Linked DNA regions of Drosophila melanogaster. The protein of the gene in region 1 purifies or fractionates together with the protein of each later gene. This does not show direct contact. Each region holds a gene or a part of one and is shown in the gene's direction. Other genes may lie near its edges.

Region 1 (4,737 bases):
AGCTAGACGCTAAAGCCGCCGCATCCCTCAGCTTAAGCCCGCACGCCGTCCTGCGGCAGCCGCCTTGTGCTTTTGCAGGCCCGAAATGACAATGTCTGTGGCTGAAGCTGAAACTGGGAAAATTTGAGTTGTCATCTTTGCGAATTCTCATTGATTGAAAACGACCGTACCAACCATCAAGGCGGCAGTTCTGGCTGCTTTGGACGGCGGGTTTTCAATATCATTATTTGTGACGGGGGACTTATAACTTCAATTTACAAATGCCAATTGAAAATACCTAGAAGAAAAGCAATTGTAAATTTCGCGGCGGCGGGGACACGGCCTCAGCAATACCGTTAGTGTGGGCGTGGCAAAAAAATGTTTAGGATGCCGATAGAAATTAGAAAGACATTATAAAATCAAAAAATCTCTACCCAACATTAAAAAGTGCGGGTATGGCAGTTTGGGCGGATTTTGTGCATTAGAGCCGGCGTGGTAAAAAGTATTTCGGCAAATCGATTGCAAAAAAGACTACAACAAAATTAAAAAAATATGAAAACATTTCCAAAAGTTGTGGGCATGGCAGTTTTGGGTGGATGGTGAGCGTTAGATTGGGCGTGACCACATTTAGAATGAATGGAATTTTCATGTCCAATCTCAACTCTTTAACTTTAATAGTTCCTGACTTTGCTGATCACAAATATTTATACTTTACGCTTCCCTTTACCTGTTGCATACTTTTCAACGAAGATAGTACACCATTTAACGAGTATAACAAGTTGTTAAATCATCCGCACTTATTAATTGTGAGCATATTTGTATAATTCCTATAATGGTATAGACATACTGTTGTAATTAATAAACAACAGTCGAAGAACTCTACTACTAATCTACTAATGATACTTTTAATCACCTAAACGTATCAGTCTATGAAAAAAGAAGCCATATAAATTATCGCGGCTGAACTAAATGCTGCTAAAAATGTCCAGGCGAACGGGTCTCCTGGCTGTCATTACCTCTTAAAAAAGCTGGAGCAGTGAGCAAAATGTGGCCAATTTTCCTCACGTCGTCTGATGATACGGGAGGCGAATGTGCGAAATACGCCTGAAAAAAATAATCATAACTGGGCAAATAGGCGATGAAGCAATCCCACTTTCCCATTATGACGTGTATGCTCTAATTAAATAATTTATATAAATTGCCACCGTTACTCCCACGCAAAAACCCGCAGGAATTTCCTGTTCCGCCGCACTCGAGCTTATCCTGCAGGAGCAGGCCCTGGTCGGAATCCCGGCGTATCGACAACCAATTCGGGCATTAGCTGCTATCAATACGCTTCTTCCGGCGGGTGTGTTAAAAAGCAAGGCCCACAAAGGATGTGGTGCTCACATGTTCAGAAATTAGCGGAGGATAATCTGTCACCGGTTCCGCTTCCGAGCAATCCCTGCCCGTACATGGTGCACTTTATTTATCGCAACGCCAGACTACGAGGCTTATGTAAGCGTGCCAGTCAATACTGATGAGGAATGGGAAAGGGGACTCCTTGTCTAGCAGGGCGTGCAAGAACGCCGTCTCCGGCAGAAGGGAAAGTCGTTATTAACCAACAATTCGGCTAAAAGCTTTCGGCCAGCAAGCTTTCGTTTTGTTTGGGGCCAACTGTCAAAACTGACAGCAGTGCTCTCTGCGTTGGGGACTCTCTTCGCGTTTCGGCGGCTGTTGTTACCACAAGAGCTGCTGGCTACCAGTATAACGTTTTCGGCAGTTAATGTAGTTTCGGTCACCAGCAGCAGCACCACCGCCCCAGAGCGAACTTTTCGGTTTGTATACGGGTCCGTGACGAGTGGCAATCAGTGCGATATTGCAGAGTGTAGCGTGCATTGGTGTGGGGAAAGTACCCAAGCCCTGTGGTTCTCCGTGACCGACTGTTTAGGTAGACCCCACGGTCCGCGGTCCGCCCTCCTTCCGCGCAAGTCCCCCACGCCAGCGGTCTAATGGCCAGTGGACTATGTCCCCAGCCTTTAATGCCCTAGTGGCCAGGTCGTGACTATCATACTAAACAATGAGCTTCGCTTTGTCGAGCCATAAGTAATAAGCAATTTGTGGAGGAAAAATTATCTCACGCTGTGCAGCAAGGACTTGCTGGAGTGAACTTCAGTTGTATACGGGCGAGGAAGGCAGCTAACCTCCCATTCAGTGCCAATCCACCAAGCTGTCTGCCAAAACGCTATGAAATTATAATTGATTGAGCGGAAAACAATGACGCCATCTTAGTCGGCCATATTGGTATGAACACTGTCGGATCTGTGTCGCACTAATTAGAAGTCTGGAGTATTCTCCTGCGCCCTTGGCAACCTTGATAGGAGCTCTTGTCACGACATAGACTTTGACCCGACCACTGTCCGATGGCGGACAGATGAGCGGATGTGGCCAGATCTTTGCAATTTCCTCCTTTAAAGCTATGTGCTTCCGGTCCCGTCTTCCTGCTGCCTGGTCAGCACAGTCCGCCCAGCATGTACACACGAATGTGTGCAAACAAACGAGAGTGGCACTGACAAGCCAACAAAGGCCGTTCCAGTGGGTTGAGGGCGCAGCCGAGGGATGCGGTGCAGTTCGGCTGGTTCTCGCTCCGAGTGGTGATAATGGCTCGTAGTCACAGCGAGCGTCTTATCAGTACGGCATAGCCTGATGCTAAATGTTACAGGAACACTAACACGACCGCCACGAATCGATATCGCGTATACGCTATTCGGCGCAGGCGCCATCTCCCAAATGTAGGCAGCGCTTTTGCTGCTGATTTCAAAGTCAAAAAGTCAAGAAATTGAGACCGAGAAAGAGAGCGAAGGAGGAAGAGAGTGAGAGCGAAAGACATTGAGAGGGATAGAGATAGAGGGGAATCGAATTATGTAACAGACAAAAAATAGCAGTCAGATAAATATATTAGAGAGACAGAGAGATAGAGAAAGGGGGCAGGGTAGGGTTCTTTCAGTCCTGGCGGTCCTGCAATCTTGCCGTCAAACGAGTCCCACCCCCACCATTGTTGCCCTTATCTATGTGAGTGCCTGTGGTGCTCGTTTTCTCTCGGCAAGCCGAGCGGGAAAGCACTCAAACCCGAGCCCGAGAATTTTCGGACGGCGCTAAAGCTCGGTCCCTCGAAGCCCGCTATTCACTGGATTTCGGGGCCGCAGCGGCGCGGTCGGCTCCGACGCCACTGCCTCCGCCAACGCTTTGTAAGGCGCTCGCATGCGGAACAGCGGCAACGAGCCACGTTTACCGAGTTTTTCGTGTAGGGTACTCTGGCAGTGGCGTGCAGAAGAGTGCGAACATAGCATGAAGTAAGAAGCGCCGAGAAAACATAGCGACGGTCTAGTGAAAAGTGGCAAGCAAAGCAAAAGTATTAAGCACACACACACTGCCAGTGCGCACGGACACACACAGCACACTCCCGCACCAACACACTAGAGCAAGTGCGTGTACATAGAGGGTTTGTGTGGGGCACATATGTGCCCGCACGATGTCGATACTGGCTCACATTGGTAGTATTTAAAAAGCGACGAACGGCCCGAGCTCGAAAGCACGACTGAAAACCTAAATTGATTAAGCGAATTTGTTCTATCAAGCTAATTCAATTGCTCGGCCAGTTGACTGAGTGATCCACTGCAAGCGCAGCCTTATGTAATCGGAATCAGTGAAAAAAGCGAAACACGGCGGCCGCCAAAGGAATACGACTCCAGGACCCGAGTCAAATCGAATTTGTTTGCTGCGCGTATTACGTAAAGTAAAAATCTTGTTTGCTTGTGGCACCCGCCTCCTCGAACCCCTCCCCACTCAAAAAGGCACTTACGTGCACGCTCCCATAAAAGAAACCCTAATAAAGAAATATCGATAAAAGCAACGAAGCAAGTGGCACGCCAGCACAATAACGACGACGACAAGCGAAACATCGGTAACAATGCGACCCCTGGGGGTGTTGGTGTGTGTGTCTGCTATTTTTAAATTAGCGCCAGTCCTCTAGGTTCGGCTCGACCCCGCCGAACCCTGAAACCCGTAACCCGGGAGCCATATAACCCTGGAAGCCCAGAACTCTGCACTGTGAACAACTAAACGACGCCTTCTGTGTCTCTGTTTGTCTTTCAGGAAGCCTATCTGCCTAATGCACGCTCTTCACAGTGGATTTCCTTAGAACAAACACATTTCGCGCAGACTAGTCGGAACTTTGCTCCTCATCAACCAAGTCCACGCACTCACAGGAATCTTCAAGCAAAATCTGAAAGGAATACTTGCTGAACTAAGGCCAGGTATGTGGGTGGTCCATCAACCTAAAAAGTGTCGAAAGTATGCCCCAAGTATGCTCCAAACTTGCTCGCACTTTATTTCAAATATTTGTGCAAAGTGTTCGTCCGCATCCTGCACATTTTACGCGTAGATTGCTCGAAGGCAGCAAAAAGTTCCAAGCTCATTACGCAATCGTTCGAGTCCTCAAAATAATGCGAAGACTATCCAAAGACGAAACGATCGCAGTGCTCCATAGCTGCTTCGCCTGAGGCGTATACATGATATACTTGAGGTATACTTACCCTTTTATGGCCAAGGCCAAATGCTTAGGAGCGTGGGTGCAGCGTTGGGTCGGAGTCACACACAGCTTATTTGCGTATTTATTGGCTTTGGTTTTCTGACTGGATCCCGTATTAGAAAACTTTAAATGTAACTGGATAGCCAACTGAGAAGAACTTTGGGTCAACTTGAAATGTTTAGTGGCCC
Region 2 (7,999 bases), on another chromosome or scaffold:
TATTATTCATTCGAATTATGGATATAAGTCGCAAACATAACAATACATATTCATTTTACTTACCTACGGGTTTCATATTTAATTTACCAGTTTTTATATCATGCATTTTAACCATGAAACGATATCCGCCAAGGTATTCAGTCACGAGTACATCCCTAAAATAAACTATTGATGGTCTGGCAGCACGATTACATTTGCCCGCAATTTTCAACTTTATTTTTCCCTTTTCTCTAAGGGGTTTCGGTAAAAACTCGATGCGTACTCAACACGCCACAAACTAAACACACATAGAACACATATTTCACAATTGCTTTTGGAAAAAAGGGCGATAACGGGTACATCCGATTTCCCGCTCGGAAGAGAGCCGCTTCGAAAATACTAACGGTTTAACTTTATTGGATCGGTGCACGGCCACACTGGCGGCGTGTTTACCAAAATATATAATTTGGATCGCACAAACAGGTGATATATACCGTCATTCCTGTCCGATATGAGTGACAACCCCGCCGCGGAGAACGAAAAGCGACCGCAGTTCGGAACCCGCCTGCTCACGGATGCTGACGACGTCTTCAAGCACAATGCTTGGTAAATATGGGTGGCAAATCCTCCGGAGATTGGCCAGCAAAAGTTGGGAACACACTCGCCAGCGTAAAAAACCGTCGGGAGCGGGCAGCCGGGTGCTCACCGACGCGCGAGAGGTGTTCGAGTTTAACGCCTGGTACTTATCTGCCGTTCAGTACTCATGAAAATCCCTCTAAACATGGATTCACAGGGACCACGTGCAATGGGATGAAGAGCAGGAACTGGCCGCGAAGGCGGCTGTAGCCAAGAATTCGACCTCAAAGATGGAAGCGGAGCAGAAGGAGCGATTTCAGACAGACGCCCCCAAGTTTTGGGATTCCTTCTACGGCATTCACGACAACCGCTTCTTCAAGGATCGCCACTGGCTGTTTACGGAGTTCCCCGAACTAGCTCCTCTGGCGGCGGATTCGGCGGTACTGCAACCACGTAGCATTTTCGAACTGGGCTGTGGAGTAGGAAACACAATTTTACCCCTTCTACAGTACAGCTCTGAACCGCAGCTCAAGGTTTTCGGATGTGACTTCTCCGCCCGGGCCATTGAAATCCTGCGAAGCCAACGGCAGTTCGACGAGAAGCGCTGCGAGGTGTTTGTCATGGATGCCACGCTGGATCATTGGCAGGTGCCCTTCGAGGAAAACTCACAGGACATTATTGTGATGATTTTTGTGCTGTCCGCAATTGAGCCAAAGAAAATGCAGCGGGTATTGGACAATTGCTATCGCTACCTGCGTCCCGGTGGCTTGCTCCTCTTCCGCGACTACGGACGATACGACCTGGCACAGCTGCGCTTCAAGAGCGGCAAGTGTATGGAGGACAACTTCTACGTGCGAGGCGACGGCACCATGGTGTACTTCTTCACGGAGGAAGAACTGCGGGGTATGATGACTCAAGCGGGGCTGCAGGAGGAGCAGCTCATTGTGGACCGAAGACTGCAAGTTAATCGCTGTCGCGGCTTGAAAATGTACCGCGTGTGGATTCAGACAAAGTTCAGGAAACCGCTTTAAATCAATTTAGACGAATAGTTCTGTGCATTTTAAACCTTGTTCAAATCAATTGATATAATTATTTACACGATATATTTAAAAATACAAAGTTAAAACTTCAAACTGTAATATTACTAGAACTTTGAGCATTTCTTTTTCTTGATGGAAAGCCCGGCTTGTTTTTAAATTTCCCACCCCTTGGCCATCGGCACTTGGAAATCGCTAAGGAAAAGCTTCTCGCTGGAACACCATTCGCTGCTGGCCATCCAGGCAGCTTTTTCCCCAAATACACATAACAGTTAGGAAAGCTGCAAGTTTTCGCAGTTGGCCAAAAACGTCGTAAGTGAAAATTTTCCTGGTGCTGCGTAAAAAAATTCGTAAAATATTAGTTAAGCCTGGTTTTTGTAAACTCAAGTTGCCCGAGCAAAAGTAAAGTGATTCTGATCAAAAGTGCTAAAACTGATTGATTAGGAAAACGAAGATCAAACGAAATGTCAACCAAAGTCAGCGAAAACCCTTGTCGTGCAGAATTTCATTGATTTTTTCTTCTGAGCCCACGTTGGCCAGTTGGGCACTTGAAATTATTTTTAAAACGTTTTGCATTTTGAAGACATCTTAGGTGCCCCTGGGGGTATGCAACGGAAATGAGGAAGGACATGCCTCATGGCTGGGCGTGTTGCTGCCACCCAAATAGTCCTCTTACGTCCCAATTAGAATCCCATAGCTGCCCATTTCAAGCATTAACCGATGTACTAAAAATAGTTGCAACTATTTTCGCACTCTATTCAGCAGCAGTTCCAGCGCTGAGCCAGAAAATTCCTGCGAAAGGCTGTCGTGGCAAGTGTTACCCGCACACATACACATCATCCAGATCCAGCCAATCCCCCCGTGGAGTGGAGTGAATTTTCATTGACGACGGGGCGAAAAAGCTCTGGCGGAAGAGCGACAGAGAGAGAGAGAAACAGAGAGAGAGAGAGAGAAGCGGCACTGAGAGCGCAACCCTCTAGAACAAAAACAACGAAACAGAGTTCAGCTGCACCACCACCCACTACCTACACCACCAACGCCACCACCGCCCACTGACCATCCCACATCCCGACCTGCGCCAGTGGAAGACAGTGAAAGAGGCCAAGTGCATCGTGCATAGAGTACCTTCATCCTAATCATCGACAGCCGAATTCGCTGAGGCCACCAGAGCACCACCAGCCAAACCACAGAAGCAACCACACAGCCACCAGAGCCATGTAAGTGGATGGACGTTATTGATTCGTTTTCCGGCGGGGAAATGGGGGTTTCGATTCCCCGCCTTGCTTTTCGCCGTCACAGAGGGAATGCTCGTTTGATAGCCGCATTAAGTATACGCAGCATGGGTCGCTCATTTCATTTGTCATTTGTCCAAGTGCTCGCGCCCGTAAAATCCGTAAAAGGAACACGGGCCAGCTGCAGCTGCCGTTTCGGTTCGCTAGGCATGAATCACTTGGCGATGACGTTGTGGCATCACATGGCCAAGTCTCTCACACCGCAAAATCAATAAAAACACGATTCGCACCCGTGAGTCAGGACATGCAAACTAAGTTGCACCTATTTCTTTTGGTCGCTTGAAACCAAACATAAGATATGTGTCATGATCAAAAGAAAAGCTCGTCTTATACACACATACAAGTTGTTGATAATGCTCTTTGATTCCATATAAAATTGATTTTGCCAATAAAAGCCGGGGAAAGTTGAGAAATCCAAAAATATTCCCTCCACGTAGGTAAAAAAAAAAAACCAATTGTCGCCGGTCGTAGGGATTAGGGTAAGATATTGATTTCTTTTTCTTTGTCGTGGGAAAGGGAAATACGGTTCGATGAAAACATTTTGCCAACAACAATAACCAATACCAAATGACCAAATGACTATGGATAATACTGAGATACTTCACTCTATTGTTTGTTTCACTAAAAAATATGCATCACGTAGAAACCATACAAACTAGTCCAGCATAAGTAGCTTCGCCTATTGTAATTCTTTTATTTAAAATTAACAATTTCCCTTCCTTTGGCCCCGCAGAGCCCAGAAGCCGAGTTAAAGGTCAAAGTTTTTGGGGGTCTGAGATGGGAAAGAAAGACAAGAACAAGGAACAGTAAGTGTCTCTCCAAGTTAAAGGGTAGCTGGCTAGAACTATACTCCAGCACTGTCCGTAGCCCACACGTATCTTGGAGATATTTCGATTAAAGCTAGAAACCATAGTCGTTCGTAACCACCCACCCACACCCACTCTTTGTGTAATCTAAGTACTGTATTTAATGCGAGAGCCCCCGTTGGAAGTTGATTAATCTTGGCCCGAGCTATTCTTGTTCTCGCATCCGATGACTAATGACGACCTCCTCCGCAGGGCGGACGCTGCACCAGCTGGCGATGCACCACCCAATGCCGGAGCCCCGGCCGGAGAGGGCGGCGATGGCGAGATTGTGGGCGGACCACACAATCCGCAGCAGATCGCGGCACAGAAGCGTCTGCAGCAGACGCAGGCGCAGGTCGATGAGGTGAGTTCCGGGACTGAAAGTCGATCACAGATCAGCCATTCCATTAACCACTGCAACCCTGAATCCCCGACCAGGTCGTGGACATCATGCGCACGAACGTGGAGAAGGTGCTGGAGCGCGACAGCAAGCTGTCGGAGCTGGACGACCGTGCCGATGCCTTGCAGCAGGGTGCCTCGCAGTTTGAGCAGCAGGCGGGCAAGCTCAAGAGGAAATTCTGGCTTCAGAACTTAAAGGTAAGTGCGACGATGGCAGTTACCTTGTCGGACCGAACTTCAATCTTTGTTTTCTCCGCACAGATGATGATCATCATGGGCGTGATTGGCCTGGTTGTCGTGGGCATTATTGCAAGTAAGTTGACAGATCCTGGGCGAACTTGGTGCACTCATTTCTGGGACACACATACCCCAGAGAAACTGACCTTGACCCACGCCACACCACACCACACCACTCGACTCACCACGCACACACAGAACCGAAGATACTTTCAAGATCACCCAGTTACCCAGTTGTGTTTGTCTTTTGAGTTCGCCTTGATTTAGCGCTGATTTCGTTGGCCCAAATCGCTTTCGTTTATCTACACACCGAATCTAAATTGCGTTCTTAATTCCGCCACTTTTTTTCTCTAGGTAACTTTATGTAGATTGCTAACTATCTAATCCGTAAGAATTTAGTTCTTAGCCGCAATGCAATGCAAATCGAAACCAAATCAAAAGCCAATCAATCAACCCAATAAGAACCAATCGAAATCCAAATCGAAACCAAAACCGAAACCAAATTCAACTCATTCACAACTGCTATGAGTAGAGCTGCGAACTCACAGTCCAACTGACCGTTCGCTCAACCGATTCGACCTAGATGCCTTGCGAAATTCCCATAACTATAGATCGATCGATCATATCATGTCATGCGCTTCAGCCACCACTAGAACAATAACTAAATGCTAAGTGGCATACATATGCGAGTATTTGTATTGTGTACCATGTATGCCCAAGCCCAACATCATCTGGTTCCATACGAGCATACGCACAGGTTCGGTAAAGATTTCATTTGATGCCCACTGAAAGTCGTGTCCTGTGTTGTTTCGTTTCGTTACGTTGCCTAACCACCACCAGTAATCAAGTTGAGATCACGCCGAGTATCGGATCCGCCAGCTCCGTCCATGTGGGTTGCGGCTGAGGGTCTGGACGACAATGGAAGGACCCCGGCCAGAAGCCGATCTGGCGGAGATGGACCGATACTCAATGGTGCCCGTTAGCCTTATCCGTAGGACCTTAAGTTCTAGCTAGCTAGTTCTAACTCCCGTAAGCCGTAATCGTAAAGTTTGTGGTTTGTTCAGTGTTTCGTTAACCGTATCCGTATCCGTATCCGTTTTTCGTTTGTTTCGTTCTGATATTGGCAGCAGCACCCCAGCCACAGACACACGACTGTGCCATGTCCTGTGTAAAATACAAAACTTGAATCCACTTCCCCAGTAAAAGTAGTCCCTTCTCGTAACTCGTTACTCAATACTAAGCCTTCACGCAACTCGTTACTCGTTACTCGTTACTAAGCCTCCACGCAAGCGCAACGGCCTTCGGATTGGAAAAGCCAGCCTTTCTTGTGCCACTGAACCACAGCAAAAGCATAAAGTACTGCCATTCTTCTTCATTTACCTAAGTTTTTTTTTAATGTTTTCACCTTGATTTGACACACTCTCAACACCGAACCATATTTTTGAACAATTACAGAGAAAGACGAAGAATAATCACACAGAAAGCTTCAGCTTTGTACAATTTTATTAACCATAAGCAAATCAATTTACCCAATATAACACTTTGTGTGTGAGGTAAACAGCGAGAGCAATCTTTTATTTATTACTCATACGCCACATTTATTGCTAGGTGCACCAGTTGATAAATCCTTTGTTTTACATCGCTCAAAACCGTTTCTATATTTATACTTTATTGTTATCATCTTTATCTGCTCGCTTTGAAAACAAATCGATTTGAATTAAACAACAACATGAACTCACCGAAAAATTTCTCGTAGAACCGTACATGTCGGATGATAATGCTGCTCCGCAGCCTCCTGCCTTGCAGCAGCAGGTGGCTCCGGCATCGGCAACTGCACCTGATTCAGCACCACCACCACCACCACAACTACTACAACAACAAGAACAACAACTACAACCACACCACCATACACAAAATCTAAAATCTGAACCACCGACACTCGAGAAACCATTGGCCGAGAAATTGACCGACCACCCACAGAGTCCGTCGAATGAAGTGGCGACTGGACAATAGAACGCTCACGATCTCTCTTGAAAACCAACATTCAACCAACCAACCAACCAACCAACCAACCAAACTAATCAGCCATCGATTAACCACCAAGACGCATCCGTAGAACCATAGTCAAAATTAATCAAAATCGAAAAGAAAACATTTCACACTTTCTTTGTACCATTGACAAAATCGATCTAATCCGATACACTGTAAGCAAACGAAAAAACGGCAACATATCAATGCAAATAATCATACCCAGTAATTTGACACCTGCGCTTCTTCTTACTTCCGTTTCCGTTTGTGCTCCCACTTCCGTTTCCGCCGTTCCTCTGGTTTTATATTATTTCGGCTGGCTGTAAACGGTGTCTCATCGTTTACCGCCAGCCTTAGCCGCATGTATGTGAGTTAATCGATGTCTATGTGTGATTAGTGCCTTATTATTTGATTTTTACAATTCAATGTTGTATGTATTTTAAAATTGGCCTAAGTTTATTGCACCAAAAGCGAGAGGACTTCTCTTCGGGAGGCTCAAAGGAAGACAGCTTCCAGTGACTGCCTAAATGTACATAAATATATATGTATATATATATATATATATCCATACCTGTTCGATGCAGTTGTCCCTGCTGTCCGCCCCCACCCACCGTCCACATCCCATGTCCACTTGCTATATTCCGTCATGAGTGAGCTTTTAAGCCTTGAAGTGTAATATTTTTGGCGTATACTCGTGTATCGTTGTCTGAGATTGGCTAAAGAGCGCAAAGAGCCATCACATGTCGTGCCCTACTAATTCTTGCATCATTTTAAAACAGATAAACTTGGACTCATAGGCGGGGAGCAGCCGCCACAGTACCAGTATCCCCCACAGTACATGCAGCCACCGCCGCCGCCACCGCAGCAGCCAGCCGGAGGACAGTCATCGCTGGTGGATGCGGCAGGAGCAGGAGACGGAGCAGGAGCAGGAGGATCGGCAGGAGCTGGCGATCACGGCGGCGTGTAAGCAATCCCGCTGCCAGGACGAAAGTTTCTCGATTAGTGTGCTCCTTCAGCGGGCGAAAACAAAGCAGAGAAGACAAAAGAAAACCAAGAAAGGAAAACTCAGTTAAACTAGAAAATCTCGAGAATTGCAATGAAAACTCAATAATAATTTTCACTTAGACGATGTGCACGAGTTGGTGTGAGAGGTTTTAAGTAACTTACGTCATAATATTAATACTAAATCTAATGCAGACGCTCCGGACAATTTGAAGTTGTTGCTAATTTGTTTATGGTTACATTATTTCATGCATAAAACGGTATATATAATTATAAATATAAATACAAATCTAAATACAAATACAAATATATGGAACTTGAATATTACGAGTGACTCCAACCACTACCCTGTACTACCACCCTATACGGAACTAGCATCTCTACGCTGCACTGGCAACAAGGAGCGCCAGTGGAAGCAGGAGGACAGGCGGTCGCTTCCCGATGTTCGCAGCTCTTTGAACTCAGTTTCCTTAGCAAATCGACTAGACAAAACTAACAGAATCATAACTATTTCGGAACAGACGCGAAACCAAAGAAATGAAATCTAAGCTTTGTTCCTAAGTAAAGTTACGCAAATATGATATTCGAAATGTATAATCCAAAA

Evidence for each region.
Region 2: the proteins of cpx (region 1) and nSyb purify together in Drosophila melanogaster (affinity purification with western blotting, with the first as the bait; one study listed by BioGRID). This does not show direct contact.

The regions. Positions count from the first base shown.
Region 1 is NT_033777.3:4,278,561-4,283,297, forward strand, and holds the start of cpx (complexin), read left to right. Parts: upstream 1-1,660; 5' UTR 1,661-1,796; intron 1,797-1,824; exon of another isoform or gene 1,825-2,262; intron 2,263-3,144; exon of another isoform or gene 3,145-3,443; intron 3,444-3,603; exon of another isoform or gene 3,604-3,922; intron 3,923-4,064; exon of another isoform or gene 4,065-4,113; 5' UTR 4,114-4,274; intron 4,275-4,737. UniProt on the Drosophila melanogaster protein: Positively regulates a late step in synaptic vesicle exocytosis.
Region 2 is NT_037436.4:1,631,628-1,639,626, reverse strand, and holds the start of nSyb (neuronal synaptobrevin), read left to right. Parts: upstream 1-1,952; 5' UTR 1,953-1,994; intron 1,995-2,014; exon of another isoform or gene 2,015-2,068; intron 2,069-2,354; exon of another isoform or gene 2,355-2,357; 5' UTR 2,358-2,807; coding exon 2,808-2,809; intron 2,810-3,617; exon of another isoform or gene 3,618-3,661; coding exon of another isoform or gene 3,662-3,690; intron 3,691-3,942; coding exon 3,943-4,093; intron 4,094-4,167; coding exon 4,168-4,326; intron 4,327-4,389; coding exon 4,390-4,441; intron 4,442-4,719; coding exon of another isoform or gene 4,720-4,733; exon of another isoform or gene 4,734-5,122; intron 5,123-5,820; coding exon of another isoform or gene 5,821-5,837; exon of another isoform or gene 5,838-5,918; intron 5,919-6,121; coding exon 6,122-6,378; 3' UTR 6,379-6,569; intron 6,570-7,172; coding exon of another isoform or gene 7,173-7,360; 3' UTR 7,361-7,999. Other genes in the region: Mettl2 (methyltransferase like 2), read left to right, coding at 555-718, 773-1,586. UniProt on the Drosophila melanogaster protein: Involved in the targeting and/or fusion of transport vesicles to their target membrane. Major SNARE protein of synaptic vesicles which mediates fusion of synaptic vesicles to release neurotransmitters.